Neurospora crassa OR74A: one gene and its partner. The protein of the gene in region 1 purifies or fractionates together with the protein of each later gene. This does not show direct contact. Links are inferred from orthologs where the notes say so. Each region holds a gene or a part of one and is shown in the gene's direction. Other genes may lie near its edges.

What was found. Proteins that work in one complex are often made in the same cells at the same time.
Region 2: the proteins of NCU08296 (region 1) and NCU06086 purify together in Saccharomyces cerevisiae (affinity purification with mass spectrometry; 3 studies listed by BioGRID). This does not show direct contact. The link is inferred for Neurospora crassa OR74A from reciprocal best matches to the Saccharomyces cerevisiae genes NAM9 and MAM33.

Annotation. Positions count from the first base shown.
Region 1 is NC_026504.1:2,501,277-2,506,553, reverse strand, and holds NCU08296 (mito ribosomal protein S4), read left to right. Parts: upstream 1-1,892; 5' UTR 1,893-2,081; coding exon 2,082-2,126; intron 2,127-2,314; coding exon 2,315-2,794; intron 2,795-2,896; coding exon 2,897-3,733; 3' UTR 3,734-4,277; downstream 4,278-5,277. Other genes in the region: NCU08295 (RNA-binding La domain-containing protein), read right to left, coding at 1-638, 703-966. UniProt on the Saccharomyces cerevisiae protein: Component of the mitochondrial ribosome (mitoribosome), a dedicated translation machinery responsible for the synthesis of mitochondrial genome-encoded proteins, including at least some of the essential transmembrane subunits of the mitochondrial respiratory chain.
Region 2 is NC_026507.1:1,859,185-1,863,617, forward strand, and holds NCU06086 (regulatory protein suaprga1), read left to right. Parts: upstream 1-1,906; 5' UTR 1,907-2,109; coding exon 2,110-2,459; intron 2,460-2,519; coding exon 2,520-2,994; 3' UTR 2,995-3,212; downstream 3,213-4,433. Other genes in the region: NCU17215 (hypothetical protein), read left to right, coding at 662-1,288; NCU06085 (LCCL domain-containing protein), read left to right, coding at 3,730-4,433. UniProt on the Saccharomyces cerevisiae protein: Not known. Binds to the sorting sequence of cytochrome b2.

The DNA of each region.
Region 1 (5,277 bases):
TTGTCACCACCGCTGCGGCCGCCACGTCCGCGGCCACGTTCGGCACCCTTGATGCTGCCCTCGAAGAAGATCTTTTTCTTGCTGGTGCCGGGCTCCATCTTGCCCTCCTTAATGAGCTGGGTCTTCTCGTCCAGGTAATCCTTCTTCTTCTTGATGACGAGCTCTTGATCCTGCCACTTGGGGGCGGGGTTCAGGGCAACAAAGGCGTTGGCTTCGTCTTCCGTCTTAAACTCAACGAAGACCGAGCCCTTGAATTTGTTCTCCTCGTTACGCCTCAGCTTGACCAGGTTGACCTGACCAAACTTGGTGAAGAAAGCCTCGATGTCGAACTGAGTGGATCCGGTCTCTTCGCCGAAACCCTTGACGTAAACGCTGGCAGCCAGACGGGCCTTTTGCGCATCAGAGGACGAAGTGTAGGCCTTCTTGCGCTTGACCGTCTCCTGGCCCTCCTCGCCAGACACATCCAAGAAGGCGCTCTCCTTCAACGCGGCGACGACGGCCGAGTAGGGCTGGAACATCTGCATGCGCTTGAAGCTGCAGATGGTCTTGAGCGAAACGGGCTTGTTCTCCACGCCTCCGGTCGTCTCCCACATGAACTTATCGGTAGGGAGGTTGCTGTCGCTGAAGTAGAACTCGACCTAAGACTATTTGTTAGACACGGGGACACGCAGCATGCCAACTGTTTTTGTAGTCTGATCGTACCTGGTTGCGGATCTTGACGGGATCGTCAGTGACGGGCTGGGTCGAAGGATCGTATTTCCTGTTGTTCTTGTAGTCGGCGCGGTCGATAGACTTGGTAGCCTCAGGCTTCTTCTCCTCCTCCTTGCTGGCATCCTCAGTCTTGGGAGCCTCCTCGGCGGCGGGGGCAGCCTCCGCGACGGGGGCCTCTACAGTCTCGGTTTGGACCTCGGTCTGAACATTCTCGACGGCAGGCGCAGCCTCAGTGTTGGCGGTGGTATCGCTCATGATGAAGGTCGGAGTGGCCTGTAGGTATTTGAAAGGGTAAAGTACAAGCGGCTGTAAAGGCAATTGACCGTCTAACGTGACGCGCGTGCACGGAAGAGAAGAATGGATGTAGATGGCCGGGAGAGAGATAATGGTGAACGGATGATGAAAATGCAGAAAGTGCACTGGAGACCGGGGACCAAGCAGGCAAAACGACGAAATTATTTAGTGGGTCCTTCAGGTGCACTCCAGTTTTGGGGCGGTAGGCGCAAAATGTTATTGCAGGGTGCAGTGGGGGAATGGTGTTGGGTTGGTGCAGGGTTGATTGTTGATCGACGCGACAGGAAAGTCGGCCATTCACCAGCAAATCCCAGGACGTGTGTGAAGTGTAGAGGTAGTCACGTAGTGTAAGTCAGGTAGGACCTCGATAATTCTGAACTGTAACACACACTTCAATTCCCTTGTCAAAGATCGAGAGTTTGATTCAGTCTTGTCCATCCATTACTGAGCTCCCTCCCTCCATCATCATACAGCAGCGTAACCCATCTGCCCTGACTTTTTCCAGGGTCTGTCGGCATTGGAGTCATATCGAGGACTGCACTTGTCAAAACCTCCCCCTCAGCGCAAAAAAATGGAAGCGGCGAAACCAAGCAAGCAACCAAATCAGCCCCACCCAGGTCCAAGGGAACCGCCTTTGGGTTTAGACTTTTTGTGCCGATTTCTACCGCCTGGCTCTGCTTCTAGCCCCACTCCACTTGCACCCGCAATCCGCCAAGAGGTTGCGGAGCTATACCGCATGCGCTCTAGCTCCCGCATCCTGTGCCTGCCAGTTCTCCACCATCCGGCCTGGAGTTGACGCGCACAGTGGCCCGAGCTTCTCACGTGAATGCGACCAATGGGCGAGCGCGTGCTCCAATTCGGGTCTGAAATAATTTTCGGAGGACGGCGCCCGATAAGAGGTGGAAGGGCCCCGGGAAGCTCCCCTCGTTGGCAGTGCTGCTAGGTGCCCCGGACCGCTCCGGACTCGACAATCTCCAAACAACCTGCGCCGAACCGGTCCGTCCACTTCGCCAAAAGCACGGGGCCTACAGTCCGATCCGATCCCCCGAAGCTCCTCCAAACACACCACACCCAACATGAAGATCCGGAGGTTGTTCAAGTACCACAGTTTGAAGAAAAAGGTATGTGCTATTCGGTGTTTTATGCCGCCGTCGCCGGGTTTGCCGTTGGTCATCGTCGCCGCCGCCGCATCATCACCCCATTCGCCCCATTACCTACTACCTGCCAGTCCCATTGCCACGACACTCAACACCCACCACACGCGATCATGCTGACGTATTTTGTGTGCGCTTCTTCTTCTTCCGAATAGCCCATCAGGCCGACATGGAACAAATATAACCTGTACAACCTGGCTACGGCCGGGAGAGAACCCAGAATCAGCGGCAAGACATTCTTCCAGCAGAAATGGCTCGCCAAGTCCTTGACACGAGCATACCACGGCGAGCACATCAAGGAACGCAAATGGGCGCGCATGTTTAGCCGTCGCCTACCGGCCGTCGTCAACATGGACCCGGCATACATGGCCAAATATAACGGCAGCGAACAAGCCGCCGGCCGCGGTTCCGGCCTCTCAGAGCCCCCAGCCTACGAGAAGACCGCCGACGAGAAACCTGCCAAGCAAGTCATCGCCAACCCGGGCAGGAAGGTTCCCACGCCGTACGAGCAAATGACCTTTGCGCCTCTCGAGAGACGCCTCGATATCGCCATATTCAGAGCCCTCTTTGCCAGCAGTGCGAGACAGGCCCGCCAGATGGTTGTGCACGGTGCCGTCACCGTCAACGGCAAGAAGGCATGTACACCATCACAACGTTCCAATACCGAATCCCACAATACAGTGCACCCATGCCAAAGCTGCTTGTTTCGGCGCTAACATTACCCGATCCTTTTGCAGATGAAACACCCCGGTTACCTCCTGAACCCTGGCGATCTCTTCCAAGTCGACGTCGAGCGCGTCCTCTATGCGACCGGTGCGCCCAAGGACAAGAAGCTCCTCGCCGCGGCTATGAAGGCCGCCAAGAAGGAGCTTGCGGAGGAAGCACAGGAAGCCGCCGAAGAGAAGGATGCGGAGGCCGAGGAGGCCGAGGAAGGAGAGGCACAAGAAGCAGCCTCCAAGTCCGGCAAGAAGGAGAAGCAAGTCGACACCTCCAAGTTCGACGAGGCCTGGAACCGCAAGTACGAACTCCTGCAGCTCCAACGTCTGCTGCAGTACGCCAAGCACATCGCCGACTCGCCGTCTCACCAGCTCTCCGCGACGCGCAAGCAAGCATTGCGCGCTTTGAAGCGCGACATCAAGGCCGCCATCAAGCAAGCGCAGCGGCGCGACGGGTCCGTTTCGCCAACCGGTAACGTGGTGGACGACCTGACGATGCTTCTCGAGCGCCTTGCGGTCTCCCCTTCCAAGGCCATTCAGCAGGAGGAGGCGGCCAAGGAGCTGAGCAAGAAGCTTGACAAGCAGTCGCGCCAGGTGCTCAAGAAGGTGATCGAGTACAACGACGAGCACGAGGACAACGAGATCGACCCGAGCAAGCCGTACATGACCCCCTGGAGGCCGCGCAACTACATGTCCGCTTTCGCGTTCATCCCCCGCTACCTTGAGGTCAACCAGAACATCTGCGCGGCCGTCTACCTCCGCCACCCCGTGGCGCGCCCGGGCGAGTCCGAAGTACCGTCGCCTTTCTCCCCCACTATCAACCAACTCGCGTTCAACTGGTACTTACGGAGAGGTTAAAGGAGGTCTAGTTAGGAGCGAGGGAATGAAAAGGGGAGATGGAGGGAGGAACGGCAGTCACTCTCTGCCGTCTCAGAGCGGTAGAATTCGCCAATGGACGATTAGAGTCGCGCGCACCCAGTTTTTTGCATGTCGCGGGTACGCTCTATTGTGCTTGTTGCATCTTCAAGGCAACCTCGGATGATGTGATACTCTGCACCTGCTGCGGCTTCAGTTGGACCATGCGTTGGAAATCGGGTTCGGTCTCGATGAGAAAGCTGCGAAGTGGGCGGCAAATCTCGCGATTCCCGGAGAAAAAGGAGACGGGGATGGATCATGCATGAGATGAGTTGACTTCATACGTATTTTGGGCACATTGCGCGTAACAGTTTGTTCGTTCCTCAATACCCGAACAATCTGTTGCAGACTCATTCAGTTCGCCCCCTTCGGCATCGATGTACGCTACATGTATCATTACCACTATTAACTAAATGGATATAAAGAGGGGCATAGACAAATTTCCTTCTTCTTTGCGTAAGAAAGTCATGAGACAGATGAGAACCACCGAGACACCTACGGTCTCCTCTCTGAAAGCTCAGTGCTTATATAGTAAAATTGCCAATCATAGCATTGTCGATCGAGAGGAGCAGTGCAAAGGTAAACACTTATCACTGAGGAAGACGGCAAAATTCGCCTTGAGAGCGCGAGAGAGAAAAAGGCTAAGAAATAACTATCTAGGAGAGGCTAAGTGTACGTTGAGTGTGTGTATGTTTTATGTGGTAAGCAAGAACCCTCCGTGGCTGGAGAGCGAAGCACCAGTTGAGAGAATCGGCCGGAAATGTTGGGTTGGGTATGACCGACCGTAAACCGTGAAAAGAAAAACCTCCTACAAGAATTCCCCGTGAAATAAAAACATCTGATCGCCGATGAAAGCAGTTAATAAAATACATGTGTTGTTGGGATATCTGGTCGTTCGTTGCTTTTCGTCCAAGTGAGATTTCCCGCCTGTTCCCTTACGCCCCCTTTGCAACTTGCATATGGTGCAACGTCGCGAGCACAATTCAAACCCGACTCCTTCTGATCCCTCTATGAGCTTCTCGGTTGTGAATTGCTCCTCGCTCCCGCCAGCCACAGCATCCTAACCGACTTGTCAGTCATGGTGGCAGCCGGAAACATGATGTTGCCGACAGTCGGTCAAGAAGACAAGGGCAAGCAGAGCCGCGAAAGGGAGTTGAGGGCCTGATTGCTGCTGCGCCGCAAACATCTGATGGGGAACAGCCAACGAATTATCTCTCTTTCTTCTCCCTCATATTTTCGGAACTCAACTCCCTAAAGCAGATAAGAGGATATATCTGTTGGAACCATGCTGCCATTGTGAAGTAAGAGATTCTCGAAAAAGCTCCTCCGGCCCAATTACATCTGCATTAGCTTTTCAAGAACAAAGTCGACCGGACCGCACCCCGTCCCAACGACGGAACACACCGGCTTTTGGAAATTTGACCGTTTACGGCAGCCAACAAATTTCTAACAGAAACCCATCCGGTTATGAAGGGATCTGCAAAGAG
Region 2 (4,433 bases), on another chromosome or scaffold:
AGTTTATCCATTGCATCCATCTATCCATCCATGCCATGTGAGTCGAGTCCAGTGCAGTGCAGTTCTCCTCCGAGTTCGTTGAAAGTAACTGACAAGCCACAACCGACGCAGGCAAACTCCAGGCAGTTCCCCCAAAATGATAAGTAGTACGTCAGCCCCCTATTTCTCTGGCAAGCCTTTATGGGTGAGCGTTGGAGTCTGAAACAGACTAAATCATTCTTTATTATATTCCCTTTCCATCTTCCATGCTTTCATGCACTTCGATTGGTGTTGTCTATGACCTATATCACCTATCAGCGAGGCAGTCGCATTAAACATATCTGTTGCACTGGAGAGAATTAGACGCTGGCTTTGTCTCAGCCAACTGTGCTTTCGAGTGTTAGTTGTACCAAGGACGGGTTTCGGACCGGATTATGTGTGTAGGTGGGTTCGAAAAAAAGAACGAGAATCATTCCACTTGGGCTTCCAAGCTGGACTCACTACTTACAAGCTTGTTAACAATCTCAACGTGAGTACCGGCTCTTCCCCAGTCATACCTATCTCCCATCATCCATCTCACCGTTGATTAGCATTCGCAATCTCACACATCTTCTCGACCATCATCATCTTGGTTGACTTGACCGGGCACACACTACGGCACCCAAGACCAGAGACGAAGCAAATGTGCACCTACAAGACCCACATCCGCGTGTGCCGCCGGTGCAGCAGCGAGGACACAGTCCTCATTTCAGAACAACTCTGTTCCGTAGCCAGGAACAGCGGCAGCGGCATCTTTGGCTCCTGCCTATCCGGGGTTTCCGGCCAACGAGATCAGACGGGGTACAAGTGCTGGCAATGCCAGGACGAAGCAACCCTCCCGGCATCCCGGTCTCGAAGCAGTAGTGGCAGTGGGAGTAGCACCTCGAGTGGCAGCACAGGCGGAGGACCAAGGAGGAGGGGGAGCAGTGTTAGTGTTAGTGTACCCATTGGAGCGCAAGGTGTGAACTCCATGTATGGATACAACAACAATAACAACTATCACCATGGAGTTGGAGGGGGTGGTGGCAGTGGTGGTGTTTATGACAGGGGGCAGCAGCAGAGACGGATCTCGGTATCAGGACAGACGACGACGACGACGACGACATTGATGATGTTGCAAGGACAAGGGAGGGAGTACGTGCCTGGACCGGCAGCATTACCGGTATCAGAGCAACAGCAACAGGGACAACAACAGGATCTCGAAAGGAGGTTGAGGAGGATGGGGAAGATGAGGGCAGACTTGGGGAGATATGATGGGCGGTTCATATAGATCAGATTGTTCGCGTGGGTATTGCTGGCATTGGTCATGTCATTTGTCGTATCGATCCGAGGCATCCAAGGCACTCGGTTCCTGGCAGCCATGTTTGTTAAGTGTGGATCCAGTCGAGCCGATCTGGACCCTGGAACAGAAGAATGCTGGACCCTTTACTTGTTGGTAGAATAGCTAGAACTTATAAAGGTGTTAAGTGGTATGGCGTTGAGGAAACAAATCGTAAAAGCAGACCATCAGTTCCGTATATAGTCGACTAAAATAAGCTATTGATGAACAATTATCCTCTGGGCGCGATGTGAGTAGTCGAAGATGGAGCTGGAGGTAGGCCGCCCGTTGTTACGCGCACCTGAACCTCAACTGAAGACTGACAAAATTTTAGTGGGTCCAAAGCGTCATTGTGGGGGAACTTCCGCTAGGTGGGAGCTTATCGGCTGGCGCTACGCTTTATCGATGGGGTTCTTGCCTCTTGTCCCCGCAGCCGGGGCCTCATTGGATGGTCTGTGCTCGGCATTTTTTTGCGCTAGCTACTGCAGAGCTTTTGAAGATTTCTGGAGACGGGACCACTCAGCTGCTCTCGGCACAGGTTCGTGGAGCTTTCAGCGAGCGGATCCAATGATCAAAACCATCCATCGTGGATTGTCATCGAATTTCTCCATCACTCACGTTACCCATCTTTTCGTCTCGCTCCAGTCTTCGTCCACTCACTTACCCCAGCTTCCGTCCTCGACAACACTCCTCTGTCCCAACGCGCAACAACACGATCGGACCCGAATTTCCAATCTACAGTCAACAAACTACCCCCCACCAAATCCGTCAAGATGATGTCTCTTCGTGCTGTCGCGCGCACCACTGCGCCCCGTGCTCTCCGTGCCGTCTCTGCTTCTCCCATCACCCTCGGCCGCGCCACCGTCCGCGCTACCAGCAACGTTCTCAGGACCCAGCTCCCCCAGAAGGCTTTCTCGACCACCGTCTTCCGCGCTGCCGCCACCGAGATCGACTCTGAGCTCTCCGAGAAGCTCTCCACCGAGATTGGCTATGAGCAGGACATTGCCTCCAACGAGCCCGTTCCCGCCACCGTCAAGGATTTCCTTGAGAACGGCCCCTTTGAGCTTGTCGATACCCCCGGCAAGGAGGACGTTGTCCTGAAGCGCACCTTTGGCAACGAGCAGTAAGTTGAACCCCCAACATGACTTCGATCAAGAACCATGCGCTGACCAAGGTACGCCAGGATCACCATCTCCTTTTCCATCGCCGACCTCCAGAACTACGAGCCTGGCATGTTCGACGAGGACACGGCTCTCGGTGACGAGGAGGGTGCCCAGAACGAGGAGGACATGGGTGAGGACGGCGGCGCTCCCGTCCGTCTCAACATCGTCATTGAGAAGCCCAGCAAGGGTGCCCTCAACATCGACGCCGTTGCCCAGGACGGCTCCATTGTTGTCGACAACATGTTCTACTACCACGACGCCAAGCTCGCTCACGGTGAGAGCGCCGAGACCCAGCACGCTGCCCAGGCTGTCTACCCTGGCCCTCCCTTCGGTACCCTCGACGAGGATCTCCAGGTCCTCATGGAGCGCTACCTCGAGGACCGTGGCATCAACCAGGCCCTTGCCCTCTTCGTTCCCGACTACCTTGACATGAAGGAGCAGAAGGAGTACCTCAGGTGGCTCAACAACCTCAAGGGCTTCGTCGATGCCCAATAAATGGGGAGAGATGAGATACTGTCACGAGGAATGGAAAATCCAACAAGGAAAAGGCGAGAGGATTCGAGGCTGCGGGACGGCTTTTTGATTCCGCAGCTGATGTATGACATGTACCTGTAATTATATCCCACGTTTGATATCACGACTCCATACCAAAATTTGTATAATGCAACAGAAGCCGATGGGAACGGGTTGTGTAAGGATGAAGATGCTGTAATAGGACCAACGTCCAAGTGGACAAGACAGTTTTTAAGTTGATACAGCACCAGAGATATGACCGCAAAGGGTCCAAGTCATGAGGTGGTATGGCAAATCTTGCCCATTCTCGTTCTATGCCATGCTACCCTTGCTCGCCTTGGAAGCCAGCGGTCATGCCATTGGTTGAACTGGGGTCACTGATCTTTTAGCCCAGCTGAATCGAACTTCAACTTTGTCCATCTCCTTTCTCCGTCTTACCTTTTTTCCGTTGCAGAAACATTATACTTTGTCAGAATGTGCTTGTGATATGACATCTTTCTAATCAATTTTTGCGTTCGTTTCCGAGGATTCCGGTTACATTCATTTCATTCGTACATTTTGTCCTTAATTCACGCAGTCACTGCAACTCAATATTCGCATTGTGGTGAACATCTTGCCTCAGAACACCATCAAACTGCAGACACGCAGTCAGAACCCGCTACTCAATACCTAACCTTTACAAACGCCTCTAAATAGCACCGTTGATATGACTACAACATGGATCTGAAACACGCACACCAGGCCCAGTACAGCGGCGTACACCAAACAGACGACGATGACGACTATCATCCCCCCCTACCTGTCTCGAGTTCCTCCCGGACCCAAGCCAACGACGACCACCAACCATCAGAAGACGAAGAAGCCCAACTGCTATCGACAGAAGACTACATTGAGCAATTCGAATTCGACGACAACACCGACACATCATCGCCACCTTTCTTGACGACCAAACACTCGAGATCTAATGCCAAATCCCGACTTTCCCCAATCTACCGCCTCTTCACCTTCCTCTCTGGCTCCTCCCACCCCCACCGGCAAACCCTCACCCCTTTCCTGCTTCCGTCAATCCAATCGCTTCCCCGCCTTACACTAGAACGCCTCCTTTCCCATCCATGGCAGCGCGCCGCTCTGTTATCTACCGGTCTACTCCTTTGGCTCACCATTCTTTCTGTTTCCCTGGTTCAGTCCAAGGGTACTCTCCTCTACGCGGATGGAGAGGAGGGAGGAGAGGTAGTCAGACACCTAGACTGCGTCTCAACCTTTTGGGGACCAGGCAACGAGTGCGGCGTCGACGGCGAGCGGTGCAAGCCCTTTGGGAACGTCAGCTTTGCATTTCGTTGCCCGGCGGATTGCAGACAGGTTCAGGTGCTGAATCCGAGGTGGGTTGGGGGGCAGGAGGTGGTTTATAAGCCTTGGGTAAT